3 linked regions of the Styela clava genome follow. Each later gene encodes a partner of the first gene's protein in a complex. Links are inferred from orthologs where the notes say so. Each region holds a gene or a part of one and is shown in the gene's direction. Other genes may lie near its edges.

Evidence for each region. Proteins that work in one complex are often made in the same cells at the same time.
Region 2: DNA-directed RNA polymerases I, II, and III subunit RPABC1 (region 1) and uncharacterized protein LOC144421013 share a complex: the UniProt entries of both Homo sapiens proteins name them as parts of the PAQosome complex. The link is inferred for Styela clava from reciprocal best matches to the Homo sapiens genes POLR2E and PFDN6.
Region 3: DNA-directed RNA polymerases I, II, and III subunit RPABC1 (region 1) and nucleolar transcription factor 1-like share a complex: the UniProt entries of both Homo sapiens proteins name them as parts of the pol I pre-initiation complex. The link is inferred for Styela clava from reciprocal best matches to the Homo sapiens genes POLR2E and UBTF.

What each region holds. Positions count from the first base shown.
Region 1 is NC_135259.1:2,953,283-2,961,264, forward strand, and holds DNA-directed RNA polymerases I, II, and III subunit RPABC1, read left to right. Parts: upstream 1-4,934; 5' UTR 4,935-5,105; coding exon 5,106-5,162; intron 5,163-5,808; coding exon 5,809-5,983; intron 5,984-6,361; coding exon 6,362-6,558; intron 6,559-7,487; coding exon 7,488-7,691; 3' UTR 7,692-7,921; downstream 7,922-7,982. UniProt on the Homo sapiens protein: DNA-dependent RNA polymerase catalyzes the transcription of DNA into RNA using the four ribonucleoside triphosphates as substrates.
Region 2 is NC_135252.1:15,383,316-15,389,403, reverse strand, and holds uncharacterized protein LOC144421013, read left to right. Parts: upstream 1-5,049; 5' UTR 5,050-5,054; coding exon 5,055-5,438; 3' UTR 5,439-5,574; downstream 5,575-6,088. Other genes in the region: chaperone Ric-8A-like, read left to right, coding at 2,141-3,844; uncharacterized protein LOC120343245, read left to right, coding at 5,575-6,088. UniProt on the Homo sapiens protein: Binds specifically to cytosolic chaperonin (c-CPN) and transfers target proteins to it. Binds to nascent polypeptide chain and promotes folding in an environment in which there are many competing pathways for nonnative proteins.
Region 3 is NC_135255.1:6,649,243-6,657,183, reverse strand, and holds the start of nucleolar transcription factor 1-like, read left to right. Parts: upstream 1-4,930; 5' UTR 4,931-5,334; intron 5,335-6,092; 5' UTR 6,093-6,139; coding exon 6,140-6,170; intron 6,171-6,493; coding exon 6,494-6,552; intron 6,553-6,735; coding exon 6,736-6,861; intron 6,862-7,522; coding exon 7,523-7,579; intron 7,580-7,941. UniProt on the Homo sapiens protein: Recognizes the ribosomal RNA gene promoter and activates transcription mediated by RNA polymerase I (Pol I) through cooperative interactions with the transcription factor SL1/TIF-IB complex.

The sequences.
Region 1 (7,982 bases):
GCAGAAACTGCAATTATTTCTGATTGGGTATGGGTAAGAGTTAATGTAACAAACAAGGAAATCGATGCTCCAGGAAATCCTAATGTTAAGTAGCTAAGTACAGGTAACACAGTAATAGGCTATTGTTCAATTGTTACACACTAAATACTGAAATATTGTATTTCATATGATTTTAATAATAGACACTAGAATAGACTTGAAAAACGCCAAAAAGCCAAACGGAAATTCTGACGCCAAACGCGTTTGAAAAAAGCCAAAAATGGCAAATTTGGCGTTAAAAAAGCCAATATGGCAACCCTGCCTTTTAGCACCTCTGATTACCGCCTACCAAAGCGTATATATAATATAAGCTAGGCAACGCTCAGACAATGGACGCCATCTTGTGCCTATTGTTCTCGGCAATTTAACACAGCGCCCTATGAGAAGTTCCAACACAAATATTGAAACATACCTATTATTTTTACTAATATTTTAAGTAGAAAAATTTTGAAGGTCGCGTTTTGAAGTAGAATCTTAGCCGAACATGTTTATATCTTGTCATGTTGGCCAAATTACATTTATAGTACATTAAATTGTCCTTGAAGACAAGTATACCGGTTCCAGTTGCTTCCGAAGTAGGATTGGCCATTCTAATCGTCATAATTACCCATTTGACAATGGCGTTCCTTATGACGTCACAGATGTAAAGTTGTATTTATTCGTGCTCCAATGGCCGTTTCTATTTTCTGGTTAACATTTTTCGTCTGTCAAGCTCAATAATGCCTTACTGCTCGGCTCCAAGCTGCGCTAGAAGAACAAATGATATTGTAGGATTGTTGCAGAGACATTTTACTGCCTCAGATTAGCGTATCACTGTAAAATCTTTATAAAAAAGAACCAAAAATGGTTCTACGCTGTGTTTGGGGTCATATTTAACGCATTAGATTGTTTTTTATTCTTAATTGCGTTATATATTCAGATAGCATATATCTCAAAGTTCAAAATCCACCCTTCAGTTTCTTTCTAGTCCTTATAACAGCGGACTTCGGTACAACAACACGACGAAAATTTCCCATAAGACTGCATTGTTTCGCGTTTGGGAAATATGGCACAAGATGGCGTCCACGAATTTGTTTAACCCATTGAGGTGTATATAACACCTCAATGGTTTAACCAAAGCCCATGTGTTTAACATTAGGCAAGTTTTTTTTTTTTTATTATTATTATTAAAAACATCACTTTTTATCCACACGATATAACACATAAACACAATTGCACTTTAAAACAAGAGAGCTATGCTCAAATATATGGACACGTAGAGTCACATAATTTTGATGACGTCATAGCGAAAAAAGAAGTAATAGCCTTCTGGAGAAAATTTTTATCTTTAACCACTAAAAATTTCAAAGCAATTGGTCCAGTATTCGAAGAGAAAAGCGACTTTTTAAAAACGTGTCAAGCGGTACTGAGTTAGCAGTCAGGCAGCATCTTACCTGTACACTGTAGGCCATATACGGTAATTGATCACAGAACAGTTGTTCCCTTGCAAATTTTATGTTGTTTACACTTTAGGACAGATAATTGATCACAGAACAATTCTTCCCTTTCAAATTTTATGTTGTTTCCAGTAGACTCTCATCAAAATAAACAAATATAGTAGGCTACAAGTGCTACAACGCTTGCATTACTGCACTGGTAGGACCGTGAAAGAATAAGTTACGGTAATTTCATTGTGGTAAGACACCGGTACCGGCACCAGTACCAGTATCGTACTTACGTACTGAGCTACCAGTACCGGTTAGCAGTCAGCCAGCATCTTACCTGTACACTGTAGGCCATATACGGTAATTGATCACAGAACAGTTGTTCCCTTGCAAATTTTATGTTATTTACACTTTAGGACAGATAATTGATCACAGAACAATTCTTCTCTTTCAAATTTTATGTTGTTTCCAGTAGAATCTCATCAAAATAAACAAATATAGTAGGCTACAAGTGCTACAACGCTTGCATTACTGCACTGGTAGGACCGTGAAAGAATAAGTTACGGTAATTTCATTGTGGTAAGACACCGGTACCGGCACCAGTACCAGTACCGAACCTGTAGGTCTGATATTCCGTTCCGCATACGATAGGCTATAAAACTTGCATTGCAGCATTAGTAATACCGCGGAAGGAATAAGTCAATTTCACTGCGTTACGGCACCGGTATGGCAACTTACCAGTACCGACCTACAGTAGCTGTAGTACTGAGCAAGACAATCGATCGCGAAACCGCTTGAAATAAGTGCAAAACAGTGTTCCCATGAGTAAAAATAAATACCGCGAAATTTTGTATGAAATATCATATCTCATAGGATTCATATAAAATTTAAGAATAAACAAAAGTAATAGCCTTCTAGCGAAAAAATTAATCTTCAACCACTGAAAATTTCAAAGCAATTGGTCCAGTATTCGAAGAGAAAAGCGACTTTTTAAAAACGTGTCAAAGAACAAGAACAACAACAAGAACAAGAACAACAACAACATAATATTGAAACGATCGTTATGTCCACTACGTGTCCAAAAATGAGTTCATGATAACTTTCCACTTCTTAATGTGGTTCAACAGTTTACATTTTCTAGTTGCAATAATTTTTTCACAGTTAAATATACTTTTTATCATATATAAAAATTGATCAAATTGAGGCCTTTCATTACGTAGTTTACATTTATAGATATAATATCGTGCACTCAATAAAACACAGTTTATACCTTGGTTTTGCTCTACCCCCATTAAAATTTCTCTATATGTCAGATTAAGATTTAAACCATATTCAACAGTTAGCCGTGCATTAACTATTTTCCAAAATTGTTGCACAAATTCACAGAAATAAAATAAATGAAACATGGTTTCAACATTCCTTTCACAAAATGTACATTTCGGACTTGATGTCTTATTTATCCTAAATAATAGGTCATTTGTAGGTACTGCTCGCAAAGCAAGTTTAACATGGAAGGATCGAAGTCTCGATTCAATAGTGCAATTAAAAACTTTTTCATACTGCGTCAACCAATTATCCAAGTTCTGCACAGTTCATTTGACCATTTTTCTATTTTCTCCTTAGGCATCAAGATTTTTACATTACGAAGCTTATCATATATGTATCTGGAAGTTTTATTGATGCTTCTAATATCTTCCAATAGACTAAGATGTGGATTGGCTTGAGGGGTTTTTACTAAAATGTTTTTCCATGCTTGGGGTATACATGATAAAACTTTTAAATATGATTGCATGTCATTATAAAAATCAGAAAAGCAATAATGATGAAAAATGATTGGAAACATTGCAATTTGGTGTTTAGAATCACAGATATCTTCAATGAAACAAATACCCTTTCTATTCCAATCTTCAATATATGACATTTTCCCTTTACTTGATATCTTTTTATTGAACCACAGTGGTTCATGCAAGTGACTTACATCAGTAACAACTTTAGATTTGAAAATATGCCAATAGCATAGAGTATCTCTTAAACATCTCGACTTAATGTTTTTAATAAATATTCCAAATGGATATACATTTCCATAGAACAAATTCATTCCTCCATATAAATTTAGAAAAAAAAATTCTATAGATTTCCACGAAGCATCAAATTCATCATTTACTAAAAATTTAACCCATCTTAATTTAAGACCAATAAAAAATGATTCAATATCTATCATATTAACCCATCCCAGAGTATCTCTTAAACATCTCGACTTAATGTTTTTAATAAATATTCCAAATGGATATACATTTCCATAGAACAAACTATTGGGAAGTCTCATTGGTAAGGTGGATAATACATATACTAGTGTACTCAACATAAGGGGTTTGATTACCGTAATTTTTTCAAGGAAATCAAGATTTCTTCTTGACCATAATTGTGCAATCATTTTCATTTTCTGGTGTAGCAAGTACATAAGAATAGTTACTGTGTATTGTAATATTTTCACCACTTATTGTTAGCAGTGCATGTTATTTGCCTGAAACAAGGTCGTTGTCCCAATTCATTTCCTTTATGATATATTTTTCTCGCTCAGTGTAGCTTGTCTTTGCCGTTCTTTGTTAGTTAGAAATTTGGTTTCATCACATATACTTGCTTTAAGGTTTCAAGTGTAATTCGTTATTTGGATCAATTCGATTGTGCAACTTTACAATATAACAATTGGCATTCAATACATTGTGTGCTTTTTGACCTCTGAAGGAGTCAAGATCGGAGTTACACTCTGTTAACGTGTGTTCAATAACACGGGAGTGTAGACACGCAGATAGGGTCGAATCTTTGTTGCCCTATACTGGAGTTTTGGCAAAATATTCACAGTATAAAGGTCAGCATCATTTTCAAATATAAAAATACCCAACAATTTAAAATCTTTTGAGTTCCACTCAAGTCCTCGATCTTTCATAGGACAATTTTGGCAATGATTGTTTCCCCCCAGGTACAAAGCTTGGCATTTGCTCATGTTAATTTTGCATCCAGACATGGAATAGAAAATATCGGTTTCATAAAATATTGTTTTGATGCTTTTTTCTGAGCCATCAGAATACACAGAACATTAGGCAAGTTGGTGCCGGCCGTTGCAGCCTACCGGTATGGTATTCGAAGGTTCTAGATTGCTGGACTCCTCGCTGTCGTAGGGCAAAGGGCTGTGAGGTGATTCACGTACGGTAACCGCTGGTCAGTTACGGCTTCCTCCGCCATCAAGTTTGTGCATAAGAACTTGAATAACTGGCTGACTAAACACTAAACCTATTCCAGTACAGCAGTGTTCTTGGCATGGACTGGTAACCGGACGAGAGGCCTTGGTTCAACATATGATTTGAGTCGTATCGCATTTCCTCTCATCGGAAAAATATGTAAATCCTATTTCTGTAAATCCTATACCGGTACCGTATGTCATGAAGTTACCGTACCGGCAATAACCTTACTGCTTCTGTTTTTGCAGACTTTATATGCCATTTCATAAAAAGTAACCTAAGTCTGTAAGTTAACACTTTAACTTCAATACCAGAATTATTATCAAACAGCCTCTAAGGTACCCTACTTGCTATATTACTTCAAGGTACTATCTGACTATTGTAACTTTGAACATCTTGTGTAATGGATGATGAATCGGAAACATACAGGCTATGGAGAATTCGAAAAACAGTGATGCAGGTAGATAAGATATAATATGGTACGGTATACATATATCCAGATATCAGAAATATAGTACTGTAGTACTGTAGTATGAATAAGTAGTAAAACTTGGGTATCGTTTGCATTTTTCAACATCCCTCATTGTCATTCTGTGGGTTGACAGGTTGATGAAGATGCAAACAATATCTAAATTTTACTACTTATCTATACTCTGTTTTCTGAAGAAATGAACGCTCTATGATGAGTACCTGAAAAGCAAATCAAAATTAAAACTGTATACTTACTTTTGACTTGAGACACCCTGCACATAGTATATGTTTGTAACATTCTTAATATAATATTGAATACTGTTGAAAAGATAAATTGTTTGAGTACTTGAGCATGAATAGTCGCTGATATATGGGATTCGTGAATCATAGTCAGGACAGAGTTAGGCAAATACATGCATGCATTATTATTTGTTGATTGAGTATGACAGTATGAGAAAAAAAACTGTGCACATTTTGTCTATTTCATCGAGTCCCAACAAATGTTACGTCTTTTCAAGCTCTGTATCTCTTATATTCATTTTGCTCATTCTTCATTTGCTAGTAATGTTAACAAATAAAGTCTGGGTATAAGTAAAAGTAACCTTTTAATTTGACGCAAACTGCTGTGTTTCTAGCTGTGTCATGATAGGGGATACCTGGTAACTCAACATGAACTGGATCAAACATTGGAAGAATTTAAAGAAGAATTTGGCGACAAACCAAGTGAAAGGCACCCAGCTAGACAAGAGTTGACTGTTCTTGTTGCACATAATGATGATCCTACAGATCAGATGTTTGTATTTTTTCCAGGTATGATTACATATCATTATATCATTCACAGACGTTTTGTACCATATAACCACAGACTTTACTTACTACTAGGGGGCATGAGACAGTTTGAGTTCTGGTTTTCAGATGCCTTGTGAGTTGCTTAAAAATAGTTATATACAAATACGTGTGAATTTATATATATTTATTCTCCACCATAGCGGCATATACCAGCAACGACCCATAAGTATGCCCAAATGTCCCATAAATCTATGTGTATTTGCAAATTATTATTTTTAAACAGCTCCCGAGATGAGTGTGAGACAAAATCATACCCTCAATCAGTCTTGTGACTGAAAAGGTCTGTAGCGTGATAGGTGATTTGTCATTAAGCTTTCTAATATGCTCTCCTGTTCACAGAGGAACCTAAAGTTGGTATAAAAAATATCAAGATGTATTGTCAAAGAATGCAAGAAGAAAATATTCAAAGAGCAGTCATAGTTGTTCAGTCTGGAATGACGCCGTCTGCCAAACAATCTCTGGTTGATATGGCCCCTAAGTATATTCTTGAACAATTCCTTGAGCAAGAGCTGCTGATTAATATAACTGAGCATGAGGTGAGTTATTTTATTGTTACAATGCAACAAATGTATCTGATCAGCATATTTTGTTGATAATATAAGATGCTAGCTACTTGGAATTCTATTAAAATTATTGTTGCACAAAATTTATTTCTGTGTGTTGTCTTCTGCTTTTGAGTGTCTTACGTTTCAGCAAAGAAAGCTCACATGAATATGTTTAATCATATAATGGTTTCAAGTATGTTAGTTTTCTATCGTAGCATTGATAGATTTCATTGCTTTGCCAGCATAATGAAGCCAAATAGAAACAACAACACACAATTCATTAAATTTCAGATGTTGGTGCGACAGTGTCCATTGTAGTTTATAACGTAGCGCCTTCCATTTTGGATTAAGTAGACAATTTAGCAATCATTATTTTTATAACCGCTTCACGATTTTCATTCATCAGGATCATTGAGCTAGAGACACAAGTAAATTTTTACTGACTTGATCCTGTTCTATTCAACACTGGTAATTTAGGATTTGAATATTGTTGTTGTTGGTATACTAAAACCTCGAAACTGAATTATCGAGAACTTGCTACAAAGAAATTGTTTTTTAGAAAGCCACATATCAGCTGAAAGTAATTTGAAAAGAGGAATTAAGATTTTCTTGATTGGAAATTCCCATTTTTTTATATAAGCGGAGAAGTTGAAATATTTTGCGACAGACAGAAAATATGTTTTCAATGTCTGAAAAATTTGTCAATGCTATCTCATGAGAGAAGGAATGCCAGTGCAGCTCCATAGTCGTGTAGTTTTCGTGTTTCGTTACCCTTCCAAGTTGGGCATGGTTATAACCGGCAAGTTAAAGATACCTGGCAGGGACAATAACGTGATCAGAGACTCTAGCTAGAATATGTCTGTAACGAATCGTGTTGTGATATTTCATTCCCTTTAATAATATGGATGCTTCTCTTACAGCTTGTTCCTGAGCATGTCGTTTTGAATCCTGAAGAAAAAGCGGAGCTTCTTGCTAGGTATAAATTGAAAGACCATCAACTACCTAGAATTCAGGGTGGTGATCCTGTGGCTAGGTATTTTGGATTGAAGCGTGGACAAGTAGTTAAAATTGTGCGACCAAGTGAAACTGCCGGAAGATACGTAACATATAGATTGGTGCAATGATGCAGATATCAATTATAGCAGTCACATTGTAGTATTGAGAAGACTAACTCAATGGGGAGTTTGGAAGTAATGTTGATGTTTGGGAAAAAACTCCTTTGGCAATCATATGTTCTCAGAATGAAGTAAACATTTCAACAAAGGGTCATGAAAGGTAGAGCATAAAAGTGAAGGGCGCTTATTCCAGGATAACCAAAATTTGAGTATTCCGCACAATAAAATGAAATACATTATGGCATTATTTTTTGACATTTAGAGGTGAATCCCACCGTAAGTGGGTTATTTGGGAGGTAG
Region 2 (6,088 bases), on another chromosome or scaffold:
TTAAATTTTCTATAAATGCAAAAACTTTTATCTTGGCTAGAATATCTTATAAATTAACTTATCCCTAGGCTATATGTGTGCATCTTGATAGATAGATTTTATTTCGATTCATTCGCAAAAACAAAATAAACTTATATATATACATATACACACGGCTGTCCTATTATATTGGTTCCCCTTATTTTCAGGATAAATCAAATATGAATATCTTTCTTTTTCTCAAAAATTTATTCGCTGCTTGATTTAGTGACCGTATGGTCCTTCCAACCTCCTATCAATTCCGTTGTTAGTCGATTTATTCTTCTTTTACTTATTGAATGTTGTTGTTTGTGTTTGATTTGTTGGCTAATGACTGGGTGATGAATAAACTTCTATCTATCCATCTATCTGCTCATTCATTGTCGCTAAGTTGTTTCTGCGATTGCATTCTCGCAAATGTTTGTTTTGCATAACGCCAGTCGCAAAAATATAAGTATAGGGTTAGTATTCGCGCAAGAGTCCGTTTTCGTCTGGACCTTTTTATTTGGTGTGGGAGGAGGCTAGTTACTGAGTTACCGTATGGTGTCGGTACGGGTGCAGCCGGTATATTTAAAATTATCAAAATCTTTTTATTTAGTTGTATACCGTACCGGTACAGTTCTTCAGTACGTGACACACTTTATATATTCAGATTGTAATTACGGTACCGGTATTTTATAAAGGTCAGGCGATTGCCGTTGTTAAATTGAATACCGTACCGGTACCGGTATTGATTTCTAAACAGTGAGCAGCGAAGAAAAAATAATAAGTTTCCCGTATTAAAAAAATATGGCCAAGCTGGTTTTGTATGAAGTCTCCGATTACAGGATTAGTCTACCACATTTTGTGCTTTCAATTGCCGGACTCTGAGAGGTTCTGGTGCTGAGGTAAACGTGGATATATGTAATTTAGTAATCTGTGAGCGTTTAGGATGCCTTAACTTACCGTATAACACTGTCAGAACGCCAGCCCACACTCGTGTGACGCTAGCCCACACTCGTAGGATGCCAGCCCACACTCGTGTGACGCTAGCCCACACTCGTGAGACGCTAGCCCACACTCGTTTTTGACAGGCCATACTAGGGGTAACTGGTCCGTGCTTGGTATTGCATTTGCGCTGTGTATATCCAATATGGTCTCTATATTGTCATAGCCACCAAGTTTTTATGTATTAACGTTTATAAAGTGGTAAAATAGTTGGTTGACCCATTGACGTCAGGCTGAGTGTGGGCTGAGCGAGTGTGGGCTGGGGTAACTTTGGTACCGAAACTGCTTGAATAATCCCAAACAGAATGTGATGTGAAATTTTTTTTTTAAAGTCTGTCTAGGACGGAAATGAAATACTTGACAGATGCGTTTCTGCGTTTAGTTAAAATAAAATCCACTCGATTTTCAACTAAGCCAGTACAGCAGTATATTCCATATCATATACCAGTAGGGTATGGGCAGACTATGTCGTACTGTAAACTGAAATAGAGTACCATATACCAGTAGCGTTCTGACTCAACTTCTGTCCGAGACTACTTTTATTATAAAAAAATAATAAATATTGGACTTTATTTTTTTTACATCATGTTTTTTTTTTTGGTTGGCATTATTTAAAAACTTGCTCCGTGTACTTCGTTAGACTCCACGTGCCCCACACCACATATTTTTATCCCCATTGTTTATAGCGCAATAGTTCTGTACTTGGTATTCAAGAATTTTTCTCTGTCAGATTAAATTCATCCAGCAGTACGGTGCTTATAACTTTTAACATATTGCAGTATTCTGGTATAGAGAGATCAATAGTACTGAACTAGTTTCAATTACTTATTCATGTATTGGGTGGTGAAAAAATCTGATTAACTCATTCTTTACCACCCAGTCATTAATAAAAGATTTTATTTTGAATCACTCATTTGGTCTATTATTTATGTTTTGTGTTTCTGGTTAGTGGTTTAAAGAATAATTAAGTTGTTTATCTCTCACAATAGGTGTATACCTTATGTGTGAAAGGATTATTAAGAAATCCTCCTTTCATAATTATTCAATATACAACTGTTCAGATCATTACTTGTACTAAACTATACTATTACAGTATTAGTGATTTCCTTCATTTAGTGTGAACCACAGTCTGACAATGGAACCTATTAATGGATATCCTAATACTATATTATCTGAGAATGATACTGATAAATCATTAGAAGCATTAAAAAAGTTCAATGCAAAGAATAGTGGCGCTTTCATTTTTGGCAAAAATGACATGCAAGAAAGAAAACTATTTGTCTCACATTTATTGGATATTTTAAAGTCTTCTCTGGATGGTGAAAGCACCTCAGAATCTGAATATGTGGTGGAAAGCCTTTCTGCTCTAGTCGTAATGTCTAGAGATCATATGTCAATGAATGGAAGATTTTTGAATCGAGAAACATGGAAGATATTGACAGTGATTGCTGGATTACTGGATAAAAATGGGAAGGCAATGACGGTCATCGAAACGTCTAAGATACTGTTTACACTTGCTAGTAAATGTCTATGCAATATCATGTTCATTTCAAAAGATTCGCAAGGTTATTGTTGCGACGATGAACTTATAAAAGGCATTTTGCAACGTTTGAAATCTCTGGATCCCAAAGATGAATCAAATGATACTGAAGTTGAATTTTTAACACTTCGATTGCTGTTTCTCGTTTCTGTGCTCAATGTGCAAGCAAGAACAAAGATTATTGAAAACCACGAGGGTAGCCGAGTCTTGTTGGATTATTTGAATTCGAAATTGACATCATCAAAAAGAGTTGTTAAACCTACGCCATGTATCAGAGCTAGTATTTCTCCTGCACATGCAAAATCCTGTTGTGAAATATTAAGAACACTGTTCAATTTGAATCTGAAATATCGGCATGAAGAAAGTCAAGTAAAGGAAGAAAGAATTACTATTGAATTTGAAGATTTGACATCAGTTTGTCGTAAATTGTATTTGGTTCAAGCAGGTGATGACAAAGTTTTGACGGAGAAATTACATGGTGACGCAGGAAATTGTTTATACACTGTGCCCAGGTCTTGTTTACTTGATGATACGATAATTCCTTTAATTGACAAGTATGACCCTGATGATGTGTTTTCATACAATGGCGAAGACATCCCGCAATGGGAGGAAAGAGATCTCAGTGCTGTTTTGAATATTTTAAAAGAAGTTGAATTGAAGATTCACAATAAGTCATTGACAACTGAAAGCTTGCAACCTGTTCTTTCACTGCTGAGCCACATCAGTCGTACATCAAGATATGTCAGAAAATATTGCAAGAATTACGTTATCCCACCACGTAAGGATTTTGAGCATCGTCCTGAAGTTGGACCAGAATTTCGTAATAAATTGATAAAGCTTTTCACACATGCTAACACAGAAGTAAAAGCGGCTGCTGCTGATTTTGTATTTGTCTTGTGCAGAGAGAAGGTGGAGAGACTTGTTAAATACACTGGTTATGGAAATGCTGCGGGATTGCTTGCAAGCAGGGGGTTACTCGCAGGAGGCCAGGGAGACACTGTTTATTCTGATTGTGATTCTGACTCTGACACAGAAGAATATTTAGAAAATGCAGAGAAAATTAACCCCATTACTGGTCACATTCCACCTAATATTCCCAATCCGATGGAAGGTATGTCGGAAGAACAGAAAGAATATCTTGCTGTTCAATTAGCAAATCAGATTTCGAAATTGTCAAGTGATGATATTATCAAACCTGTATGTATCGATCCAGATACTGGTAATCTGGTTCCTTTTCAACAAAAAGTCCACAATATGCAATTACCAGAAGAGAAAGATTCTGATGAAGACATTGATTGAAGATTACAGATTGACATAATATAAGCTTTTGCAGCAAATTTTCTGAACTCATCTTCCTTTAAATAACTAACAAAATATTGCGATAGGAATGGAAGTTCATTATTTGAGAATAATTTGTCTTTATTATTATATCCTGGGTAAAACTTATGTTGTGTGAAATGCAAAACTAACCTCGAATAAAATTTTGGACACTATCTTTTGAGGCTGATATGCCAACCATTGGCACCTTGGAGGCATTCCTGTATCTTAGTCCAGCTTTAACTGTGATAGTTTTGAAGCAAATTGCTATATTTGTAAAAACATATTTCAAGTCTGTACATTTTTTAATGCATATATGTAATTGTGCCCGTCTGTTGCCCGTTTTCTCTTTTGTAATTCTATGTTTAATGAAATTTTATGCTGCATTCACCAAGTTATTTGTTTTGAGGGAATCATGTCTGTTTTAGTAATCGTTTCTTATGAATTTAGTTTTATTATTTGAATAAAAAAATTTTCTCTGACAGTTGTTTCAAAATAATATTCATGTCATTTCTTGCAATATATTAAGTCAATTAATGCGTCACGTATGCTACCAACTTTCCTAGAAAAATGCTTTTTAAGCTATATGGAGTACTAGAATTCTGTGTAGTGCATCGAGTATTTGCATTTTGTTGCGATATTAGATTAAGAACTAAATTCTGACATATCTTACACAATGTTAATTTCTGTATATTAGCCAGCTTCTGCAAAATACAATCATGATATGTATAAGTTGGCAAGATTTTTTGCTATATTTTGTATACAGTTATAACCTATTCTTTTGTAAGGTGTTGTTTGATCATTCGTTTTTGCCTAGTAGAGATTATTGTCCATGGGAGTCATTAAGTTTTTTTTTTTTTTTATGTTTATGTGTTGTATCATTGTTTGAAGTTTCAAATTACTCATTTTACAAATTGCTCAATAGAACAACATGGACAAAGATTACAGTCAAGCTCGCCATCAGTTAAAAAAATAACTTATCGAAGGATGATATTTCACTTTATGGGGTTATTTAAATGTGCAGTCTTTTCGAAATGGCTATATTGTGATGTTATGACTTATTTTCATTATATTCAATATATTCAGATGTTTTGCTGTTTTTCATCAATATTTTCTACATTTATGTATATATAGCTTCCACATGTTCTTCATGTAACGTATCTTTTTTGTATTTTTGTGATATTATAGCAGGATGGAAAAAGTTAATAAAAAAGTACAGCTAGAATTTCAAAGTCACGTTTCTGAATTGCAAAAAAATCAAAAAGCTATTGGCAAGTGTGTGAAACTACGACAACAGCTTGAAGCTCAACTTACAGAGAATACTCTCGTACAAAAAGAGTTGGATATTCTTGAAAGTGATGCCACTGTTTATAAGCTTACAGGTCCTGTATTGGTGAAGCAGGATTTGAATGAAGCAAAAGCGAATGTGAAAAAACGAGTTGATTATATTACAGAGGAATTTAAAAGACAAGAGAAAACAATTGAGGATTTGGAAAAGAAACAAGAGACAACAAGACAAGCATTAATGAAAATTCAAGCTTCGCTTCCAAAGCCAACTGGAAAACAAGTAGCATAGTAAACAGGATAATTTTAAAACTGAAATAAATTTGTAGTGAAATATATCCAATTTGGCTTACAACCACATTTTTTTTTTCAATTATAAATTTTTTGTGTTTGCTGCTAGAAATCTTCAAATTCAATCTATTTGAAGAATGAGGCTGGAAGAATACAGCACAATCTTTGACTTTATCAATTACCACAAATCTAATTGTCCAAGAACAGTTCTCTCTAATGTTATTTCAAACTTTGGGTCTCAATATCAATATCATACACTAATGAGTATATTTTTGACCTGTTTGCAACGAAAAGTGAAAATGACGTACCACTCAAAAATGAAAGAAGAGAAATTGAAATATTATTACAAATTATATAAAGAACGAATGAATATCTCACATCAAATGAATCATAAACAAAATGTAGTGAAAAGTAACAAATTACCCGCACAAAATATAGAACAAACCTCAAGTGAAATTGCAAAATTGTGCAATGGAAAAGAAGCGGTTTCGAATGGCACTGACAGTGGTTCTTCTGATGTAAATGGCAAATCTGTATTGATTGGTATTGCAAATGATTTCGAAATTCCACCTTGTTTAATGGCAAGAATTATTGTAGAGCAATACCTCATTGAAGAAAAAGCTTCTGCTAACAACAAAGAAAATTTTGCTA
Region 3 (7,941 bases), on another chromosome or scaffold:
GATGTAAGTTGTTCATTTTATCAAGGCGAGGTCGCAAAGTTGGATACAAATCTGTATCACTTTTGCTCAGCTATTTTGCCTCCAGTCTTATTTCATACATATACATATTACATGCCAACTTTCAGAACTTCCAATATTTATAGATTCTTTTGAAAACAATGCATTGTTCGTTTAGCACAAATGCTTCTTTATCTCAATTCAGGTTACCAGCGGCACAACCAACATCACGCAATATACCACCTCCACCACCAGGGTTAGCTGGAATTCAGCCTGCTAATAATTTGAGGGGTTGGCCATCAAGTAACCCCCACAACCTATCAGGTAAGTGCTAGTTTTATCAGATCTTCGTTTTTGTCTATTGTCTATATACTTGTGACTGTTTCATCACAATGCTTTGAAATTATTGAAAGTGGGAGGAAATGATGACTTTGATAAGCAAGACAAAAATGAGTTTGAAATAAAGAGTGAGTAATGATAATGAGTTTGAAAAACTTCCCTATTTGGCAATATGAGAAATACTTGTGCGGAAGGTCGCCCTGTTAATTAGAAAGAAAATTGGATAATAAGAGGTAGACCAAATAACCAATCGTGATGTTATTCGGCAGTTGCCTATTGCCCTTGATGGGCTCTCACTGAACAACTTTCAGGTCAGCTGTCTGTTTGATTGAGGCTTGCAGAATTGGATTCAAGATTTTTTTCAACCTAAAAATAGCAGCTGACCTTTTTTGCAACAAAATCTCTTGTATCCACTACAGGGTGACCCAAAAAAAAAAACCCATCAATTTATGAAAATGAAGAAATTTTTAATACTTTTCTGATGATGTATGATTGTGCCCAAAAGTTTCAGCAGTTGATGATGTTTCGCACAAAAGTTATGTTCTCTCTAAAACAGGGGTTGGTTGATTACGGTCCATCGAAGTGTTTCATCCGGTCTGCTGAAATTATGACAATAGTTTTTATGGATATAAATTTCCGTTGAAAATATTGATAAAAATAAAGTCATGATGATCCCGATTGTTACATTGTGCTTCTTATTGTTATATGAGCGTCATTACGTCAGCTTAGCTGATGGACTGGTTGTTGTAAATAAGCTCTTTTTTTATTCATAGTTTTTTGTATTGAGTTTAGAGCTTCTAGCCCAGTAACCAAGTCTATCATCGGTACCTGGCCCACTCAAAAAAGAAATTGCCCACTCCTGCTCTAGAATATGTTCCAAATGACCTTGTACTTACTGTTTTATTTGGGTGACCCTGATCATGTCCCATTCCAAATACTTACACATTTTTAGAACTTCTCATTTGTATATTACAGACAGCATGCCTATTAAAAGTACAAATGATTGGGAAGCAATATTTGGATTCAAATCATCTGCAAAAGAAGTTCTTCCATCAGCAGATGACGATCTAGGATTCGATCCATGGGTTGAATGTAGCAAAGGGTTGGCTGATTTGATGGAAAAAGAAAAGACGCAAGAGACTGGAGCTGTTCATATTAACAATGTAAGAAGAAATGTGCAAGAACTTGGATTTGTATTTTTATGATTTAGATTTATAATTTAGATTTTAAATTTTTCAATTAATGATCCACTTTTCAAAAAAAATTATGATTTATGCTCATATTTGGCAAATTGGAAAGAACTGCTGATCGGATTCTTAGAGCAGCAATTTTTCAGAATTACTAATTTTTGCCTATTTTAGCCCAGTAGCAAATGAGGCATTAAACTAATTGAAAAATTATAGGCACTCGACAAATTACTGAATAACACAACATCATACTGAAAATAAGAATCAGTATCAAGAACATTCTTTTAACTTCCTACTACGTGGTTGTGTGTCTATAACCTTGTGCAAACTCCAAAGACGAATGAAATCGAATTGAAAAAATCGGAATGAATCGAAAAATAGAATTGAAATTATGTTCAATATTTAAAATTTTTGATATTCTGAATAATATATCCTAGTTAAAATTCGAAAAATGATCATTTTTAGCAACGAATATTTCACAGTATAAATGAGTATAAATAAGTAAGTATAAATTTTTTAAATTTATATTTGATACATTTTACTAATTACATACTATTTCAGAATGTATTTAGAATAGAAGATCATTCGTTTTTGGCCACCCATGGACTAACCATAAAAAAGTTCATTTTCGTCAATTTAAATCTAATAAACTAAAGTTGTTTTCTTGTTTATAGATTCCATATTCAACCAATACCTTTCCATTTAATTCAAACCCAACGTTTTCCGATATATCTGCAACACAAAGAAGACCAACATCTTTACATAATCCCAACCATTCGGGTGTACATCAGGTAAAATGTTTTTTTTTTTTTCGAATCTCGTTTTTCGATCTAGAAGCATATTTGAAGCTTGATATACATTTTTGTTTTATTCATTTTATAGGCTGGATTTCCTGGCGGGAATGATCTCATTAATGGATTTTCCAATCTTATGATGCATGGAACATCCCAGCATTCTCAACAGCACAAAATGCCTTTCCAATACGATAATTTACAACAACGTCAGTTCGAGCAAAATCGATACAATCAACAACAAAAAGTTTCCAATCCCTTCCAACAAATCGATCCATCAGATAAGAACAATTTTTGGGATCTGCGAACTATCAAAAGCAGGGTTTTATAAACCATGGGGGCCCACCTACTCCGAACAAAGATCAAATGAATAAAAATCCTGCAAATATTACAGATTGGCAAAATGGACTAAGGGCTTTGCTGCCGAGCGTAAATATCAATTTTGCAACTCAAGGACAAATTCAGAGACCTAACTCAAGGCCTGTCGATAATTCCTCTTTAGGTTTATCCAGCTTAGGTATGCCAGCAGAACATAACAAACATATTAATATTCCTCACCCACCAGGGATTTCAAGCTCTGGTATGAATCCCCATCCCCCTTTCAACAAATCTAATATCATGCCCCCACCTGGGGTGGGTTTTCCTGGCAGGTCATCTTCTTTTATGCCATCAAGACAGCAATGGGGTGGCCCTGAATCTTCCATGTCCACACCTGGAATGTCCTCGAACAGACTTGTTAGCCCTGCTAGTTTGCAGTCCTTATTTGCTGGTGGAAACCGCTCTGAATCTAATCCTATGCCTGGTGGTACAATGCCATCCTACCCACCCGATCCTGCCATAATTCAAGGAGGCGTGCCAGGTTACGGACCCACAATGAGGCGTAATAGACTATTTGAAAATCCACAAAACAAATCTTCGCACAATAATAACGAGGATCAGCCACATTGGATGAAATCGCTGCAAGCTTTAACTGAGCCCGACAGTCCAATCCACCCTATCCCACCTTCGAATAACTCTAATATGAACCAACTTTTTTCACAGCGCCCAACAAACAGTGGTATGCCCTCGTGGCCTGGGATGCCTGGCTTATTTTCTAATTCAGGTTTTGTGCCTTCACAGCCACCTCCTGGATTTCAAGTCAGGCCTTCTCTATCAAAACCCACAGAGTTTGGTATGATTCACAGCTTATTGGAAAATCAGTCATAGGGTTGGATTTCTTTTGAACGATATTATCAAATAAAGTAATTTATATATTTGTTGGAATTTCTCTTACCATAATTCAAATAAATGCGGTTTGTTTTTTCGATCCGATCACTGATCTCTGACAAAAATGGTACACATGGTAAAATGGACAACACAATATTTGAAAAATTGTTGCAATTTTAATTTCTTGAAAACGTGATAAAAAAAATGTGGATGATTTCCACTGGTATTCTTGTGGCTTGGTGAATTTTGGTAGTCGTGACAATTTTATCGTAAATATTCAGAACATTGAAGAGCACTTTCTGGTGACTTCTGGTTTCATTTAAGTGTTACTTCTTTTTCTTGGCCAAACTTGATGGTGCTGGCATGATGTTCTTATTTGTCTGTTTTCCGCTTTATTTCAACTCAATGGTCAATAAAGATATGGATTTTTTCGCTTTTTATATGCTATTTTGTTTTGATTTGTGACTGATGTTCTTGGGCTCATGATGTGAAAGACTATTTACTTATTGGCTTGGTAGGTACTTTTTATTAATTAGGTTGCAGTCCGTGATAACTATCAGATATTGTCTAACATCGACTTTTCACAGACCTCCAATTTTATAAATTGCAGCTAGTGCTAGAACTTCAATTGAAGTTTAACCATCTGGTATATTTTGCTATGGTTTATGTGGCAGAAACGTCCCTGGGATTTTCGTTACGTAACCGCTGGTCGGTTACGGCTTCCTCCACCACTAAGTCCATGCTTCCGAAAGCAAACAATATAACTAATCCCATACCAGACTTGGAATGGTAACCGGACGAGAGGCCGTGGTTCGCCATATGGATGAGCCGTCTTAGCGGCTTTCCTCTCCCCCGGGATAAATATGTAAATCCTAACCTTAGAAGCTATGATCAAATTATGCATGGACTTTATGCATACTTACATATTTTGCCACTCCATATTACTTTTACTCATTATACCGTTAGTTTGATTCATAAAGCCCAAAGTAGGTGCTTTTAGTCTTCCGAGTGCGTTCAAAGCCAGTTTCAGTATTATGTTAATTATGGTTTATACGTGGGCAGATAAAAATTATAATCGTTGGCTATACCATGTCTGGTACGTATCCTACTAGGCTGAAGAAGACTCATTTTCAGAAATTGTGTGCGACCTGTTCAGACCCCCAAGACCCTAACAAAATGAAGACAGTCCGAGGGCTTCAGTTAACCCAAAAAGCCGAAACTGCAGGTTTGTAACAATTGCTTTGAGGAAAACACATATTTATGACTTGAAACATCTGCAACTTGAAATACTCAAATGAATACGGCTTCAAACTATGATTATAAAGGCAGCTTTTGCGCTTTATTTCAAAATTCCAACATTCTCCCTTTTGTTTTGAATTCCAAGAGTCGCTGCCGCCGAAGAAAGTCGATGTTTTCGGCGACTCGCAGTGCTTTTTTCGGCTGATGTCTCTCGAAATGCCGAGATAGATACACCGGGAAAAATACAGACAAGCGGCCTGAAATCGAGCGTTCTGATTGGGCGTCGCTATCGATTTGCGTGAGCCCGTCTGTCTGGCGTGGCGTATTGCAGTTTCAAAGCGTTAGTACAGAATTACGAGGAGGGCGTGTGCAACCAGTTCAGATCGCACGATAGTTTGAGCTCACAGAATCAAATTAGCAGACGATTAAAAACGACCACTGGAATTCGGAAATACAGCAATAAACTAGGCCACGGTACTTCTGTCGACATCAAATATAAAAGACAACCCAGACCAGAAGACTGCAGCGACTCGTAAAACTGCAAAAACACGCACGATATCGGCGAAAAACTGAAGGTAAGATGCGTTTTCATCATGCATTAGTACTAATAAAGTTTACTCAGACATCGCGACTTTAAAAGTAAGGTACTGGTATGTGTTTTACAATGAATGTACCCTTGTGAGATAAATTTTGAACAACATCTTGCTAACTGAACTGGTCAATTCGTGGTCTCGTTAAACGAGATAGCGAGGTAAACTTTGCAATCGAGGTCCGCCATATTTCTCTCGCGTTTCGCAGAGAAAGAAGGCATTTTCATCATAGTTCATTTCAACCATCAGAGCGCGAAATTTCAATCATGGTAAGCGCGAGACCACCCTATTAGAAAAATACATGGTGTCCGAAAAATTTCCCGCGAATTTATAGTAATAGCAATTAATTTTTTTTGTTTTTGACTTCATAAAATAAAATTTTTAATTCTAACTCACAATTGTTATTACTATAAAATCCGGTGAAATTCTTAATTGTTTTTACTCAGTTACTATAAAATCCGGCGAAATATTTTGGACACCCTGTATAATATATAATTTATCAACTTTCACATTAAAGCATCCCAATTTCCAAGTACAAAATAATCCTTTTTCAATCTTAATCATTGTTGTAAACTTCACATGTATTCTTGTAACATGCTATAACCTCAATGGTATAAATAACGCTAACCATGTTCGTTCCAAATCCAATTGGTTGCTCATTTTTCATGCAAATTATCCATTTGACTGTTTTAAATAATTCAGAACTATGAGTGCAAGTGTCTAATAATGTTTTTATTTTTTAGAGCATTTGTCAACATTGGGAACTTCAGATTGATATTCTGATTTGAATATGAAAGGGGCAACTAAAAACAATTGTATTGGTAAATCAACATATTGTTATCAACTCAAATCATGTCTTGTGTAGTTTCGTACCGCATGTACTTCTAGTAGACGCGGCATAACAATTTTTGCACATGTCAATCCTAACCCCTACCTGACTTCGCCATCCAAATATTATGTCTCTTTTTAAATGAGGATGGATGTTGAAACTTCAAAGTAATCTGTAAAGTAAAATATTACAAATGAATAGGTGATCTTTAAACTACTGTTAAATCATAGTTTGAAGGAATGTTGAAGTATTTCAATAAAAACTTACAGAAATTTAAAATTCATGGAAATGACATTAATATTTACAATTTTGCAGGGAGTGAGGATGGATGGACAGATGCCACAACAAAAGAACTTTTAAATAAAATGAAGCAGGTATATTAGGAGATATTATAGTAGATCAATTTTTTTATTGATAAATGAAAAATTATTATTTATATGTTTAATAAAATTCATTGGATGCCATGAACAGATCCATCACATTTTCAGTTATCAACTAATATATATCAATGCCAATTTGCTGTAATCATGAATCTTCAATTAAGTTTCTTATTTTAGGCTATTCCGAATCCAGATGTTTCTAAATATAAAACGATGTTAGAAAAATTTGAATGGGACAAAGTAAAGATGGGTCGTTTCTCAGCTGAAGATTGTAAGAAACAATGGTTCAGAGTTTATAAGAAGGTTTGTTCAAGTATAATTCTTGTTTTTGTATCTTTTTACCAAGTGCACAATTGGTCAGCATGATATGGTGGGAGGTATTTGTTGACACTGAATTCCACCACCCACATGGGTTTAGGAGCAGTTAAACCAGGGGTGTGCAACATGTGGCCCGCAGGCCCGAACCCAGCTCATCAAGCAGTTGGTGTGGCCCGTGTATTCGCCCCCCACTCATCAAGCATAAAATCCCAATCCCACAGTGCATGTTTAAAAAGACGTTCACATGGGTAAAAATATGTGTATTGATATTTGCTCTTGTCGCTGCCCTAAATCTTTCGCCGTTTTGCCCGGTGACTTTATTACTGGAAGGCTAAGCAATGGCCGTATTCTCTTTGCTTTCTGGTTGCAGCTAATTTTCCAATTCATTGTGTGCATAGAAAAACTTATTTGTTTATGTGGCTCAGCTAGATGTCTGAAGTTAGTTTTATGGCCCACCAAAGTAACTTTATCGCCTTTCCCTCTCGTGTGGGATAAATATTAAATATGCTATTACTACCTATCGCCACTGTTGAAAGTATGTTATATACACAGAACACAGTATCTGAGAATTTTCAGTTGCCTTGGACCTTGGTTTGTCTGGGATTGACTTGCTATTGTTAATATTTTATATTATTTTCACATTCAGCTGAGAAAGTTCAAAACTCTGTCAGACTTAATAGTGGATTCTCTCGATTATATTGAGGTAAGTAAAATAAAGTTGCCAATAAAACCTGAATACATGTCGTAGTTATGCTACACCCAATACGAAAAGTAATAAAATGCTTGCTTTTTAATTTATATAAGATGATTGATAAATTTACTGTTAACTTACTGTTTTTTAAACATTGTGTCGTGAAGTCTTCAGCGTTATATGTTGAGGTTGTTTACACAACAGTTATATATGTATTCACTCTGACTTAAGCTCTGAACAAGTATCTACAGATATGTACGATGCTACTGTTTCATATGGACCTGTGTTTATCTGGTGCAGCATTGTCAACCCAATTTATTATGCCCTCTCTAAGCTGGTGGGTATGGGACTTGAAACCAGATTTTTACCTACAG